4 linked regions of the Drosophila melanogaster genome follow. The protein of the gene in region 3 interacts with the protein of the main gene of each other region in a pairwise test. Each region holds a gene or a part of one and is shown on either strand. Other genes may lie near its edges.

Region 1 (3,726 bases), on a different chromosome or scaffold from region 3:
ACTCTCGAAGAGATAAATCATTCTTAAAGGATATTTGATATTGTCTAGATTAGGAAAAGCGTTGTACTTACACACAACTTTGTCCACGGGATCGTAGTCGTCGAACTCGACGAAGGCGAATCCGCGTTTCTTGCCAGTCTCCTTGTCAATGACTATGTTGATGTCGACGATGTTGCCAAAGTGCTGGAAGTAGTCGCGGATGCTCTGCTCATCATGGTCGTCCTTGAGGGCGCCAACAAAGAGTTTCTTTACGGTGGCTCCGGCATTCGGGGAATCAATGTCCTGACGGGGAACGGCGCGCTTGGGCTCCACCACTCGACCGTCGATCTTGTGGGGACGCGACTTTTGGGCCTCATCAATCATGCTCGAGTGGGAATAGGTGATGAATCCGAATCCGCGGGAACGCTTTGTGCGCGGATCCTTCATGACCACCACGTCCACGATGTTGCCCCATTTCTCGAAGTGAGCCTTTAGGTTCTCGTCGGTGGTACGGTAGTCCAAGCCACCGATGAACAGCTTGCGCATATGCTCCGGCTCGGTGATGGAGTCCTGAGGAAAGTCCTAAATTATTGATTTTATCAATGGCCATAACCTCACTTTCCGCCCTTGAGACACATGCGTAATTTTCAAAATGGCGACCGGCAAGGCGAGACACCAGCTTACAGGAAATTTCTAGACCCTTAATATCCACTACTTACATCATCATGGCCATTGGAGTTGCCGTTCTGGTTCTGGTTCGAGTTCACCATTTTACTAATGCAAAAGTTGAACAACTTCTAATCTAACTATTTTTTTTGCTATTGCAAATGGAGAAAGTCCCCTGACACACGAGACGAATGAAAAAACTGAATACAGTGTGACCGTTTCTACAACCCGATTAAACCCAGCACCTATTCGATACTACCTAGAACGATAACGATAAGTTGACAGACACCCTTGTCAATACAATACTTTTACAATATCTGCCCTGTTTCTTTTCACCATGCCTTAAAAAATGTGTGTAACATGTGTATTCTTGATCACGCCTTTTGCACTAAAAAGCTAAAAGAGAAACCAATACCGACAGCATCGTACTCCCTAGCACTATTAAGATACAACTACTGTTAGTCTTAGTCTTAAGTAACAAAACCGCAACGAAATGCTTTAGCACATCAACTTTAGTTGCCGCATGGGTAAAAGCGCGTTGATCACCAAAATATATATATATTGGGATTATGGCCGAACTGAGTTTTTTCCCTGTGCAGTCGCGGTTTTGTGTGCTACTTACATCTTGCTCCTCATTTTGACCATTGTTCCAGTTGTCGTGACCACCCATTTCGAAGAACTTATATTTAAATATCTTTACTGCTCTGATATATATCTCAGCAATACTATAGAAATAACGACACTGGGAACGAAAGACGCTCACTGTAGCACCCCTTCCCTAAAACTGAAAATATATTTTCCTGTGGAAAGGAAAGCCGTAGACAGACCTTACAAAAATACTAGACCTAAATAAAAGCAAAGGTATTTGGTTACACTAATCGGTTGTTGCTTCCACTTGTTTCCACTGAAAATCTATGTGGGTCAAATTAGCGTCTATGGCAGAACGGTGAAATATGGAAAATGAGAATCTTATTTATTTATTTAATTTTTCGCTATTTATAGGTAAATTCCAAAAAAAATACAAATGCAAAAATCTTAATAAATCGAACTATTTAAGAGATCTAACTATCTATGTACGACTAAAGTTTATAGGACTCAGAAAGTATATAAAATATGCAATAAAAAAATCGGCTAGCTACTTTTCAAGGAATATCTCCACTCGCAGAGCATATTCCAAAATGCACGCTGGCCAGAAAAATGATGTGTTAAATTACTCGGCTCCGCCGTCGCCGCTAACTCCACGATGCTAATTTAACGCATTTTTTGTAGCTATTTTCAAGATGTAGCTACATATTTAGCGGAATATTCGAAAGCTTTTTGTGGTATTTTTCGGCGCACCCGCAGCAGCCACACTGCCGCACACGTAAGGAAATAAGTTTTCTAATTCCTTGATTTCAAAAATGCCGAAAAAGAAGACTGGGCAGCGTAAGAAGGCCGAGAAGCAGAAGCTTCGCCTCAAGGAGATCCGCAGCAGAGAGGTGCCTCTTGCGGATTTGCCCTGCAATGCACCAATGGAGTGCGACAAGTGCGAGAAGAAGCAGAAGTCGAGAGCCTTCTGCTATTTCTGCCAGAGCATTCAGAGATTACCCATTTGCGCCCAGTGCGGGAAAATCAAGTGCATGCTAAAGACCGGCGACTGCGTGGTCAAACATCCGGGCGTCTACACCACGGGCCTCGGAATGGTGGGCGCCATCTGCGACTTCTGCGAGGCTTGGGTTTGCCACGGACGCAAGTGTCTCCAAAACCACGCCTGCACGTGTCCGCTGCAGAATGCGACCTGCCTGGAGTGCGAACGCGGTGTCTGGGAGCACGGTGGGCGCATCTTCAAGTGCTCCTTCTGCAACGGATTCCTGTGCGAGGACGATCAGTTCGAGCACCAGGCCAGCTGTCAGGTGGGTAACCAAAAATACTCATTAAGCTTGTTCCGAACTTCATTTTGAGATTCATATGACGCCTTTTGGTAATGCAATCCATTCGGTTCCAGGTGCTGGAGTCGGAGAACTACAAGTGTCAATCGTGCAACAAGCTGGGTCAATACTCCTGCCTGCGCTGCAAGACCTGTTACTGCGAGGATCACGTGCGTCGCAAGGGCTTCAAGTACGACAAGAACAAGCCAATTCCATGCCCCAAGTGCAACTACGATACCTCGGTGACCAAGGACCTCAGCATGTCCACGCGGTCGCACAAATTCGGGCGACAGCAACAAGGAGGCAACAGCGACGACGAGGAGGGATACGGTGGATACTATGGAGCCGGTGGCAGTGGCTATTATGGTGGCGCCGCCAGTGGGGGCTACTCCTACGGGGGTGATGACGATGAAGATGAGTCCGATGGAGACTACGATGATGAAAGCGATGAAGACGATGATGATGATGAGGAAGAGGACGAGACCACAGAAAGTGAACCGGAGAAGGAAACCGACAAAAAGGCCACCAAATAAGGCTGAATTGTTTATATACTCGTAAATGGCCTTTTGTTAGTCCCTCTAAGTGTGCGAATGAATTCTCGGCTGTGCAGTCGTTTCTCTCGATGTAATAGGGAAATAAATTCTTTGTCAAATTGTAGAGTTTCCAAGTAGCCATTTTATAAAATGCAACAAGCTGCAAGTGGACTGTGGGCGAAAGTCGAAAGGTAAATGCGCAAGCGAATGCGAATCCAAATTCCACAAGGGAGGATAACTGGGGAACTGCGGGTGCGGATTGGAAATAATGGCCCTGGGCAGGGAGGAGCAGCAGGGCCAACCCGTACGCATATGATGATGGCGATGCCAACGGCTCTGCCAGCGCCAACTTCTCTGCTGATAGACTCATCCATCTCCAATCCACTTACGAGCGCAAATATTTACACAATTTACTCGAAAACGGAGGTATGAGCATATAATATTTCCAAAAACGATGGCAAACACACCACACACACCAAGCGAAAGACACGCACTTCGGCATTTGGGAATGTTTGTCAGTTAGGCAGAGCGGAACAGCAACAGCAATGGGTAGATGGGCGATGGTTGCTGGGCCATGTGGGGCACGGGATGTGGGCAGGGTTCGACCCATCATCAGTCTGAAACATTTTAGGCATTGCAAA
Region 2 (4,828 bases), on a different chromosome or scaffold from region 3:
AGTTTAATTTACTTTCAACTGTTTCGAATATTTCTCACCTATGATGTTTGGTTTTCGTGGATCGATCGGCGAAGGCAGCTGGACAGTAGTTGCACTTGTATGGTCGGTTCCCCGTGTGAGTGTTCATGTGCCGTACCAGCTGTTGATTCTGCACAAAGCCTCTTCCGCAGATCCTATAATAACATCCTATTAGCCATAGTTACTATTTACTTTCAACTTTTAAACCTACTCGCACTCGTGTGGTTTAACACCAGAATGGAATTTCATGTGCTCGGTGAGACGCGCCTGAGTCGGATAGATATTTCCGCACACATCGCAGATGTATGTGCTCAGCTTGTTGCGCGGCTTTCTGCCCACCTTCTTTTTGAAGGTTTCCACTTTTGGGCTATTCTTGTGGTATGCAACTGGCTTCCTGCCCGATCGGTCGCATTTTTCCGGCTTAGCATGAGTTGGGTCATAATCTTCGTCAGAGTCGAGTATGTCTTCAGCAATTTCTTCTTCGGGCGGCTCCTCTGTGGCAACATCTGTGCCGGTGGAGCCTTTTTCCTGTGCGATTTCCGGCGAGTTTTCGTTGGTGAGCAGTTCGTATTCCTCGTATTCAGCATAGGTTTCAGCCTCCTCGATCTCATTTGGCACCGGCTGCGTGGGATCGTGCACATCGAACATATTGGTATCATCAGTATCACCATCCTCCACGACATAGGTGATAACCTGATGTTGCTGATCCTCCTCGCCCTCCACTTTCATGCCGCCATCCAGCTGACTGGCGTAGTCCTCCCACGACTTCAGTACGCTCTCCACCGAAAGGTCCTCCGCGATGCTAAGCAAATCCCCTTCGCCGGCGGCGTTAGCATTGCTGGCCTCCCGGTCCAGCATGTCCATAATGTGCTGATGGGATCGCTGGCATGTCAGACGGAACTTGTAGCAGAGCCGCAGGCAGCGCACGCACTTGCTGCACATCTTGTCCGGGAAGTTGTCATCTAGGCTGACCTGTTTGGGTTGGAATAATTTAAAATGGGCAAACCAAGCAGGATTCACACTTACTGGAATGCCTGCGCAAATGTGCAGCATTTGGTCCAGTCGCGTGCTTGCCGTTTCGCTGAATATGTCGTGGAGCAGCTCCTCGCCCTCGCTGGGATTGTTCAGGCAAACGCGGCACACCACCCACTTCTCGTTGGACTCAGTTTTCATGGCTAATTCGATAAAACAATCACTTCGGTTGTTGCAGAAGATTCAAACAGCTGAATTTAAGCGTCCACGGCCACTGGCCATTCACAGCGAAACGCGCCCGCCAAAGTTGATACGGTGAATGCACGTTATGAACGACTACATGGAGCGTACAGGGTACATAGCTGTATGTGCACTTTTTACCAAACAAATGTTTTAAATAATTTTTTTTTGGTAGAAAATAATATAAAAATGCGCGTCATTTTATTAATTTTATTTTCAATTTACAAATATTGAAGGAAAATGGTTTTAAGTTCGTTTATATAATAAAAAGGAAAAGCACTATTCTATCAAAGTAGTTTTGTTTCAGTACAGTAATGACCACACTGTCTTATGGAACGATGGAACTTTACATGAGCTTGACATATAATATTGTATTAAACTGCTTAATCAAGCTTTTATATATTTAAATTGTAAAACACTTGAATTCCAATTTTACTGATTTATTTAACTGCCCACAAAATGCATTCGTATTCTTAATTATATATTTAATATTTGAAGTAGCGAATGGAATACCCTTAGCGTCGACTGTGGTCACCCTGTGTGGCGACATTCGCATTGCAACGCGTGCACTTCGCTCCAGACTACAATCTATTTTTTTGGCGTCGTCTTCGTCCAGCGAGCGTGTTATTATAAATATTATAGCGGAGGGTAAGTAGCCTCCTGGAAGAGATCCATCTCCTATTCGCGACAATGAGAGACTCGGCAGCACATGCGAGTCCGGCGGCAGCGGCAACGAGCACGCAGAAGTGGATCGTTTGCCGGGTTTGCCTGCAGCAGCCCAAGGAGCCCATGGCCAGCATTTTCAACGACGATTCGGAAAAGGATCTGACCCACATGATTCGCGAGTGCGGCGGAGTGCCCGTAAGTTTGTCCCATTGGACCCCGAACCATATAACAATGCAATTTCCTTGGCAGATCAAACAGTTCGATCACTATCCGGACAAGATATGCGAGAAGTGCTTCAAGGTGCTGAAAATGGCATTTAAGTTTCGAGAGACCTGCCAAAGATCGTACGGCCATCTGCGCCAGTTCGTTGGACCCGTAGAGGTGGAGCAGCGACCACCGGAGAAAAAGGGCTCAGAGACAGCCACCAAGCTGGAGCCGGATGTCGATCCCGATGAGGCGGAGCAGGAGCCAGAGCATGACGAGGAAGACGAGGATGTGGACCTGGACGAGAGCCACTATGCCGAGGCGGACGATGCCGCCGAAACGCAGGGTGGTGTCTTCCATGACGAGATTGAGGATGGTATCCTCGTTGAGCTGGAAAAGGATCGGATTGTGCACGTGAAGAACGAGCAGGTGGAGGAGGACGGCATAATCGAGGAGGTTTATGACGTGTATGAGACGTACGAGGGCGACCTCATCCCAGATCAGGGCTATGACCACGAGATGGCCGATCAAGCCCTGTCCGAGTTATCTGCCGAAATCGAATACCTGGACCAGGTCGAGCATGATCAGTTGACCGAAAGTGCCCACGAGGATGATGCGGAAGTCGATCTGAACTCAACCGAAGAGGAGTTCGTTCCCTCAAAAAGCGTTCGCGCGTCCATCCATGCGCGGAATGCCACCAAGCGGAGAGTGAATCCCCGCAGGTCAGCTACATCGACGGCCTCGGTGGCTGTAGAATCGAGTACCTCCAAGACAACTGACCGCGGCAATCCACTTAAGGTACGGCGGGGTAACAGTGATTCGGCTGGCAGCAAAATGAGCATCAAATCCGAGAAGGACATCTCGATTGGCGAGGTGCTGGCGCGCAAGCATTCCGGCATTAAAACCAAAGGCGGCCACAAGATCCTTCTTGGCGACAAGAAGGAGTTCAAGTACATCTGCGATGTCTGCGGCAACATGTATCCCTCCCAGAGTCGCCTTACCGAGCACATCAAGGTCCACTCCGGCGTGAAGCCGCACGAGTGCGAGTAAGTAACTTCACAGTTTTTACTGCGTGTTCACTATGTTCTTTGGAGTGTTATTACGATTTTAGCTCATATATCCGTCTAATTCGGGTATAATGATTGTGTGGAAGTAATTAATCATTTTCAATAAGCCTTCATTAACTTAAAATCTCATTTTTCAGGATCTGTGGTCATTGCTTCGCCCAGGCTCAGCAGCTGGCACGCCACATGAACACCCACACCGGAAATCGGCCGTACAAATGCAGCTATTGCCCGGCAGCCTTCGCCGACTTGTCCACGCGTAACAAGCACCACAGGTAAGTTGGTGAGCTCCAATCCAAACCCGATTTGATTGAATAATTACCCGTTTGCAGAATCCACACCAACGAGCGACCCTACGAGTGCGATGTTTGCCACAAGACATTCACTTACACCAACACCTTGAAGTTCCACAAAATGATTCATACGGGAGAGAAGCCGCACGTGTAAGTTTCGCTTTCCCCCTGGCGGTTACAGTCCGTATTCTCTAGCACGAACTTTCACTGTTTCACAGATTGTTTATGCATACACTAGCTTCAGAACCAGATTGAGTTTTTTTTTTGATATAGAGAGATGGAAATCGTTTATAAAAATATACTTTTTATTCTATAAGAATGTACAATTCACAGTGGAAACTATTTTGAAAGAGCCATGCTGTTTCAAAAGATTATTGTTTACGAATATTACGTAGTATATTAATATTTTGAGTTTAGTTGATTGTTTATTAGGTGCCTGAGGCGTAAATAACATTAGATAAACAGGGAATGAAGTATTAGTGTTTAAATATTATAAGTTATAAGGAAGACATAAATTAATCAAGGATTCTAATCAATTTAAAACACGTTTGCTCTCTCTCTTTAGCTGCGATGTGTGCGGCAAGGGATTCCCGCAGGCGTACAAACTGCGTAACCACCGGGTCATCCACGAGAGGCGCGGCCAGTCCGCACGGGAATCCGTAGCCGGGCTGGTGTCCTACGACACGGCCAACATCGTTGGCCTGGATATGTAAATTTCGAGCGAGGACTCCACGTCGTCCCAAAGCGACACTTTACACTTTAAGCAGAAACACGCGTGTAATTACACATCTAATTATATTGATGAAATTTAAGCCTAGCCTAATTATGCGGAAATAAATTAAGAATAGCCGCGCATATGGTCTTGGCGTCGGTCTCCTCCGGATAGAGCTGCAGTACGGCATGCACCTGGTGCGGTGGGAAAAGGCTGCCCAGGTGATAGCGCAGCAATCGGCGCTGCTCCTCCCGCGGAAGCTGCTGCGAGGCGTGCAGCTCCTCGTTGATGCGCGAATCGGAGGCAGACAGATGGGCGAAGTTGTGAGCGGGCAGTGGCAGACCCAGTCCCTGATCCGTGACCGGGGCGGATGGCGTGCGCGTCAGATACTGGTGGTGATAGTTGGTGCTGGAGTTGGACTGTTGATGCTGCTGCTGTGCCTGGTGTTGTTGTTGCTGGAGGGGAGCACTGTAGGTGGGCACCAGCAGGCGGTAGGCGGGCGGCGGTTGTTGGCGCTGCAGCTTCTTGTGGCGATTGGGCTGGCTGGATTCCACGGCACCCTCTGAAAGATCCATTTGAGCGGAGAAGCCCTGACATACCTGCTCGATGGTATTTGACTTGGTGCGCCCCAGCGGCTCCCGGCTAATCAGTGAGTTGAT
Region 3 (4,394 bases):
TTGGTCTTGGACTGCTCGATGCGTTCCGCCTCCAGCATTTGTTCGGCCAGCTTGCGCTGGTTCTCCCGGAACTGGTTGATGGGATCGTCGAACTGGCGATAGTAGTGGAGCACCTCGCGCACGTCGTCCACGTTGTTCTGCGCAATTACTGTAGCGAATTGCAAGGGTCAGTGTTTAGCTTTCAATGTCACTTGTGGCGCAACTTACTCTTTAGGAAAGCGATAAGGTCCAGCAGTTGGCCATCATCGTCGTTGCCATGCCAGCGGGCCAAGCCGAATGTGTTGTCCGGATGCATCTTGGTGGCATTCGCATCCCAGTCCACAACAATCACCTAAAATACTCCCTTCTTTATAGATGATTGCAATAGAAAATACGTTGTGCATGACTTGCCTTCTTGAGGTCGCGATTAAGGTTGTCCAGGTTCTTCACATGATGGCCGTCCACAAAGTGCGTGGCATCCCTGACCAGGCGGTACATAATGTAGCCGTTGGGATCGAGGGCATCCAGGATGGGGAACACGGTCATGCCCTGTTCGGCGGTGAAGACGACAATTTCAAAGTCCTTGGCGCACTCGGCCAGAAAGTGGTCGACGCCGGGACGCTTCTTGAAGCGCCAGCCAGTTTGGTAAGTCCAGTCCGGATGCACCAGCACGTCCTTCATCTCCAGCACAAGCGTGTAGCGCGGCTGCACGTACGGCGGCTTGAGCGGATCGGGCAGCAGTTTGGCGCGCGACGGCTCCTGGATCATGCGCTGATAGTAGTGAATGCTCTTCCACATCCGCTGCAGATACTGCTGTACCAGCGGCTTGTGTGTGAACTCGTCCTCGATGGGCTGCCCGTTGGGGTCCACCTCGGGCTTGCCGAACTCGTAGACGGCCCAGAATCCAGCAGCCACGGCGCTGCCTCCGAATATTGCAAAGCTGCAGCAGGAAGTATTGTTATAATACTGTTACGCATTGAATGGGCGTCAGCTTACCCCAGCTTCATGCGCTTCCAGGCACGCTCGTTCTCCTTTTCCTCCTCCTCCTCGCGCTTCTTGCGCTCCTGCTCGGCGTTGCTGTCCACCTCCGGCGAGGTCTGAGGAAAGAGCTTGGCCAGCAGCGGGGCATTCGGTGCGACCTCGGGCGCATCATTGGGGCCAGTGGCTCCAGCTTCCTGCTCTGCGAAACGAAAGTGGCCAAGGATGAATGTTTAGGACTCTACTGTTTAGGACTCTACCGTGAATCACTTACTGGTTGTGCTGCTGTAGCCACGCGCTGTGTGCAGGATCGAGAAGAGCGCCGGAGCAGCCGCTGGCAGTGCTGTGCAAGTGAATAGTCGGAGGTACTGCTGCTGGTGGTGGAGGAGGTGGTGCTGGTGCTGGTAGTGTTGGTGGTAGTGGTGGTAGTGATTACCCAATGCGCGGTGCTGGTGGATGTGGGTAAGAAGACGCGGCGTGCTAAGGCCGCGCAGCAACTGGAGGACGGTGGCCGGTGCCATGCTCATGCTCATGCTTCCCCCTTCCTTCCCGATATCGAGTCCTAGAGCCGTTCACGAGTCCTGCTCGGATGGCAGCGACTTTTTACTTATAAAAAATTCCAACAAAAATTTCAACTTCCCACCGGCACGGCGTTGGCGTTAGGGATTTTATATACTGTCCACTGCCAGGCGGCACCAGGCGTTAGTACATTTAGCACGTGGCTCTCAGCAGGTATAGATCGGCGATTTTCAAGCCAAATCTGGCGGGATTTTGCAGATAACTGCGTGTGTACATATGTTGCCTCCGGCAATCTGACTAATCACAGTATTAAGAAAATTTTAAATTAAAATATTTTAAATAATATGGAAATACACAACCTTTGACCAACCACCAAGCCACTGTGCCTCTGGTCACTTCCAAGCTGATGTGCCTGGCTAGCTATTTTGAGTGCCACCACTAACGCATCAGCTGGACTTTGGCATCACTGTTCGGGACGCTAAATTAAGTTATTTATTTAAACGTGTATTATCTACTGTCGAGTTCAATCCATGACGACCATGTCGCCGCCGTCCCCCATGGACGCCTTGTGCCGCGTGTGCCACACAGCATCGCCGCGCTGCCTGCCGCTCTTCAAACCGCTCGACGATCCAATTTCCGGCAAACCAGCGACGCTGGCCAGCATTTTAAGCTACTGCAGCGGTCTGGAGATCCTAGAGGCGGAGCTCTTCCTGCCCCACCACATCTGCCCGGACTGCGTGGCCAAGTTGCGGCTCTCGCTGGAATTCAAGCGGAGTGTCCATCGCATGGACAGAATTCTGCGGCAGAGTCATGCGGACTTTTGCCGCAGCAAAAAGATCAGCGCGGTGAATACTAGGGCCAGGCTGTCAACCGAGATTCCGGAGGATTTTGTACTCGTGCTCGATGACCAGGAAGTGACTGAATATCCAGCAGAAACGATACGAGATGAGGAGCAACTCCTGGTCGTAGAATCAGATGAGGCGGAGAGCCGGCTGGAAGCGCCAATTGTACAGGAGGAGAGGCTGGATATTGCACTGGAACAGCACGAAGACGATCTCTGCGAGATTGTCGACGATCCGGATCCGGAGCAACGTAGGAGCAGGTTAGAAAGATCCGAGCCAGCGCTGCAATGTCCCGTGAGTTGCCTTTCCGAATTAGAAGTAAGTAATCACGAAATAGTTTCCCATCTTCGGCAGATTTGCGGCAAACAACTGGCTAGGAAGCGGACCTTTCAGTACCACATGAGGCTACATGGCCAGCCAAAAATTCGCCAAGAAGACAACGACCACTGCATTGAAGAGTGCCTCCAAGTGGAGCCCGTTTTGCAGGCCAAAGCTGGCGAAGATGTCTACGAGATTGTGGAGAAATCAGCACAGACTTCGGCGACGCAGAAAACTTTGCCCAGTGGAAGCCGGCCTTGGAAACCCCTCAATCCCTCCCTACAGTGTAAAGTAAGTTGGTCATCGCAGCTCGCAAATAACTCAAAGCCGAAGGTCATCAATTCTCCCTCCATTCCTTTAGATCTGTGGCAAGCAACTAAGCACCAACAACTCCTTCAAGTACCATATGCAGCTACATGGCACGGCCACGCCCTACGTTTGCACAATCTGCGGAGAGTCCTTTAAGACGCGAAACGCCCGCGACGGCCATGTCACGCTGCACGATCGTAACAATCCGAACAGGTGCCCCACCTGCTTCAAGGTCTACCGGCAGGCGTCCTCGCTGCGCACACACCTTCTAATCCACAGCGGAATCAAGCCATTCGAGTGCAGCATCTGCGGCAAGAGGCTAACACAGAAGTCGGGCTACAAGAAGCACATGCTCACCCACACGGGCGAGAAGCCGCACGGCTGCGACATTTGCGGCCGTCGCTTCCGCTACTCGAGCAATCTGATTGCCCACAAGCGCTGCCACAGCCAGGAGAAGCCCCACCCGTGCCCGGTGTGCCAGAAGCGCAGCTTCGGCAGCACATCCGAGCTCAACCGCCACATGCTCGTCCACAGCAGCGAGCGACCGTTCGGCTGTGAGCAGTGCGGCAAGTCCTTCAAGCGCCGCATCTCACTCGCCATCCATCGCCAGTCGCACAAGGCGGGCAGACAGCGGAGGCGGGCCGAGCATGAAGTGGGTGTCCAACTGGAGGAGCAGGACGAGAATGTGGAGACCTGAAGCTAGATCGCTTATACTATCGGCTTAATGTACAAATCGGGACATTTAGTTTTAGTTCAATTCGCTTTTATTTTCGGTACTTTCCTTCGCACAATAACAAGTTTTAAGTGTGTTCCTATTGTTAGGATAAATTTGATTGGTTTTCCCACCCAAAATAATGCGTGTTTCATACATACATATATATTATATATGGTCAACAAACATTTCGAGTCTTCTGACGATCCTTTCGATTTGATTTAATGTAATGAGCTTTAGTTTATCAGGTGGAGGCGGGAGAATCTCTATACATATGGAAGTTTCGATTGGGTTTTGTAGTTGATAGTGGCTAAGGGTGAGGGTGCGGGTGCGGGTGTGGGGACCTTAAGCTAAGCTACTATGCTGCATTGAACTTACGCGCTAGAAACCAATTAGAGTAGTGCGGAACGAGTGTGCGAGCGGGTAACAAACAAAATGGGGCTGGGAATTAAAAGTGTGGATTGGGAGCTACGCGTTACGCTGCCGCGCGATACATAAAGTTAATGTATAAATAAATATATATGTTCAGACAATGTGAGTGCTTGCTAATACTTGGCATACATAAAATGAGTATAGATCACAAAAAGTCGCGTAAAAACATAAATGTTAGTGGGTATAACGTGGGTGGGTGGGATGAGTGAGTAATGAGTAATATCAGTGGGACATGAGGCTTGGAGGCACACGTGGCTTTCCTTTCCATCGTCCAGCTTGGACGACTCTCATCTCAAGATCCGGAC
Region 4 (3,032 bases), on a different chromosome or scaffold from region 3:
GGCAGGCAAAGCCAACTGCTTAAGGTACTCCTGGCACTTGTGATACACCTGGTCGGCGTCTTGCAGCGCCTGTTGGCGGTAGATGTGCTGCAGGGCGATATAGGAGTCCGTATTGGCAGTCATGTCCGGCAGAACGCCAGGCAGAGGGAGATGGCCCTCATTCTCATGTATCACAAAGTGCTTTAGGGCCTTGGCCATGATCCAAAAGACGTTGCTCTGTAAAAAAAAAAGAAAAACAAATGAAAGTAAAGTATACGTATAAATTCAGATTATATGGGCAACCTTCTTGTTTAACTGTTCGCAGGCATCATCTTCGAATATGGCTTTCAGGCTTTTGGGAACCTGTCCCGCTCCAAAGGCTGTATTGACCGCCTTGATGGCCTCTTCATAGTTTTCCTCATCCGCCTTCATCTCCTCTCTAATGGTCTCCTTCAACTGATTCTTCTCTTTGTAATTTCGAGGCGTTTGAGTCCCATCCGCTTGTTGTTTTTGCCACACATTAAGGTATTTGTGAAGAACCAGCAACCAGGGCACCTTACTGGTCACCTCGGTGCCGTCGAGATGCTCCCGCAAAGCATCGAATGGATGCTCCAGACGCAGATCAAACTGTCGATTATCCGGATGCGCCTCCACGATGCAGTGTTCCCGTATTTGCAAGCGTATTGTGCCCAGCATGCCAAGCGATCGGCAGTAGATTAATGGAACGTTAAGCTCCCATAACCGTTCGGCCAGGAGAAGCAAAGTCTGCTCATTGAGATTGGAGGCAATCACTAAATCGAAGCTGTCGAAGAAGTTCGGTCTGTTGGCTAATAAAAAGTCGGCACTCTCGTCGACATAATCGCCATTTACGTCGGGATTGAGTTCCTGGAGAAGTTGCATGCAAGCCAATGCTTTAGATTTGCCCAGATAGCTGGAATCGAGGAAGAAACTACGGAAAAAGTGACTTTATAATGGTGGTCAGGGAATGTGTGATGGTCTACCGACTTGTTGCCCAGATCCTCCTCCTTGACGGTGCTGCCATCGGCCACAGTGAAGCCTCCGATACCGGGTAGCACCAGTCCCTTGGCAGTTTCACAGCCGACGGCCGTAACATTCACCAAACATACTGTGGCTGCCTCCAATAGCGTCTGTCCATGCTCTCCCCACAGCCTAAATAGGTGTCATCAGTGCTATGCTTCCGAATTTATCAATTAAAACGCTCCTCACCTGATTTGTCTGTCGTATTTCTTGCTTTTATCCGAAAGCTCTGGCGATTTGGGGGCTGGCGAGGACATTTCACTAGATTTTTGTGCAATAATAAGCCGGTTGCAAATAATCCAGTACTGTAAAGCGCCGGCAGCCAATACTTCTGACACAATTTGTTTATTGGGTGGAGTGTTGGAAAAAACACGTTGGTAATTTTAACTGTTGCTTATTTAAAACATTTATTGACTATTACGTATTACATTTCATTTAATTTTATTGCATTAAACTACATCTACGTACAAGCAATCAGTCTTTACAAATAAAATGTATAAACAGTTGAGAAATTAAAAAGTGAAAGTCTGAGCAAACCAAATAAAGTGTCTGGTTGACAGTTTTTGAATAGCATTCCATGGCTATGGTTTTGGGTGAGTTTTAATATTGATTTTCAACATGCAATTAATTTAATTAAATAATACCGCTAACTGTTTGTTGGCTGGGCAGTGTAGGCAGCGCATTTTGCAACACTGGGAGGGCTAATGAACAGCTGTTTTATCGTGTAATTTCACAACAAAACAACGCATACATCGCTGTGTTTTCTTCTGCATTTCCGTCCGATTGCGATCCAATTTGAACTAAATAAATATCAGTATTATCACGGAGATAATGCCGGCCAAAAAGAGAACTGCCGCGTCGACCAGCAAAAATAGCGATTCGCCATTAAGTCCGCACACAGACGATCCAGCGTACAAAGAAAAAAGAAAGAAAAACAATGAGGTAAGTTTAAGAGTTTTGGATGTAAACAGAGAGCAAAGATTGGGAAACATGTTGCTGTGGCGCCGTGGCCCCCAGAAGTCCCCAAAAATAGATGCCCACTATTGATTTATTACTATTCTCGGAACAGGCTGTTCAGCGCACACGCGAAAAGACCAAGAAATCGGCCGAGGAACGTAAGAAACGCATCGATGATTTGAGGAAGCAAAACGATGCTCTTAAGGTTCAGATCGAGACGAGTGAAAAACATATATCTACGCTTAGAGATCTGATCATTCAGGGTGAGAAAACGGAGGACGGCCATCGAATCATCCAGGAGATTCTCGCTGAACCAGATCCCGATCCCAAGGACAATGACTAACGAGGAGCTTCTCCTGATTTACCTTCTTATATTTTCATACTTTTAAGCCATTTCCCATGGTTGTTAACCATGTGTATCATCTTAGTTTTTCGATTAAAATGGTGCAATTGCTCGAATTCTATTACAAAGACAAGCACTCATGCAGACGAGAACAGTGTTTGTTAAAATCCTACATAAATGGTTTTCATTATTGGTGAGTTTTTATCATTTCTCACCAAATACTTGTTTTTGTTGTACTTTTCTTTTACTTTTGTTTATATTGTAACACTTAATCACTGTATCCATGTTGCACTGAATCTAAATTTTAAAATTATCTATATTTAGTAATAGTGATTTCTATTATTTTCGACATGATTCATACAGCTAAAATCATGCGAGTCTTGAATCAAATAAAGTGTCTATTATGATTTTACCCATATCAGTGTTATTTTATACCCAATACTTCAGCTGTTTACAACTACTACTACTATTATTATTTCCTTGAAAGTTGATGAACTCATTAATCAGAAATACAACCCAGATTCCATCATATACATATGTTCTACGTTTAAGTAGAACTTCCGGCAAATTAGATACTAACCGTCGTAAACGTCCAATTTCTCCATGTGTAGGCTAAAGACCTCGTCCATTTTCCGAGATATGAACATATGAACTAAAACTATAGCTATTGAGAAAGTGTCGTTGTGCCGATAGGTTTTTGGTTTCGGGTGTCCCG

What was found.
Region 1: the proteins of CG2712 (region 3) and Noa36 interact in a two-hybrid assay, tested with the Drosophila melanogaster proteins (one large-scale study listed by BioGRID).
Region 2: the proteins of CG2712 (region 3) and idc interact in a two-hybrid assay, tested with the Drosophila melanogaster proteins (one large-scale study listed by BioGRID).
Region 4: the proteins of CG2712 (region 3) and Irbp18 interact in a two-hybrid assay, tested with the Drosophila melanogaster proteins (one large-scale study listed by BioGRID).

Annotation. Positions count from the first base shown.
Region 1 is NT_033777.3:28,597,541-28,601,266, reverse strand, and holds Noa36 (Noa36), read left to right. Parts: upstream 1-1,978; 5' UTR 1,979-2,045; coding exon 2,046-2,537; intron 2,538-2,629; coding exon 2,630-3,085; 3' UTR 3,086-3,208; downstream 3,209-3,726. Other genes in the region: Hrb98DE (heterogeneous nuclear ribonucleoprotein at 98DE), read right to left, coding at 72-561, 699-749.
Region 2 is NT_033777.3:20,030,020-20,034,847, forward strand, and holds idc (identity crisis), read left to right. Parts: upstream 1-1,803; 5' UTR 1,804-1,920; coding exon 1,921-2,091; intron 2,092-2,145; coding exon 2,146-3,146; intron 3,147-3,304; coding exon 3,305-3,439; intron 3,440-3,496; coding exon 3,497-3,607; intron 3,608-3,861; exon of another isoform or gene 3,862-4,022; coding exon 4,023-4,170; 3' UTR 4,171-4,276; downstream 4,277-4,828. Other genes in the region: trem (trade embargo), read right to left, coding at 39-173, 230-990, 1,045-1,191; Regnase-1 (regnase 1), read right to left, coding at 4,277-4,828.
Region 3 is NC_004354.4:2,730,559-2,734,952, forward strand, and holds CG2712 (uncharacterized protein), read left to right. Parts: upstream 1-1,910; 5' UTR 1,911-2,006; coding exon 2,007-2,612; intron 2,613-2,672; coding exon 2,673-2,927; intron 2,928-2,997; coding exon 2,998-3,642; 3' UTR 3,643-3,844; downstream 3,845-4,394. Other genes in the region: ttm50 (tiny tim 50), read right to left, coding at 1-148, 208-331, 391-919, 976-1,159, 1,232-1,490.
Region 4 is NT_037436.4:11,096,927-11,099,958, reverse strand, and holds Irbp18 (inverted repeat binding protein 18 kDa), read left to right. Parts: upstream 1-1,772; 5' UTR 1,773-1,817; coding exon of another isoform or gene 1,818-1,848; coding exon 1,849-1,959; intron 1,960-2,086; coding exon 2,087-2,317; 3' UTR 2,318-2,513; downstream 2,514-3,032. Other genes in the region: APP-BP1 (beta-Amyloid precursor protein binding protein 1), read right to left, coding at 1-216, 283-928, 985-1,149, 1,207-1,274; CG33947 (uncharacterized protein), read right to left, coding at 1,818-1,867, 2,898-2,946.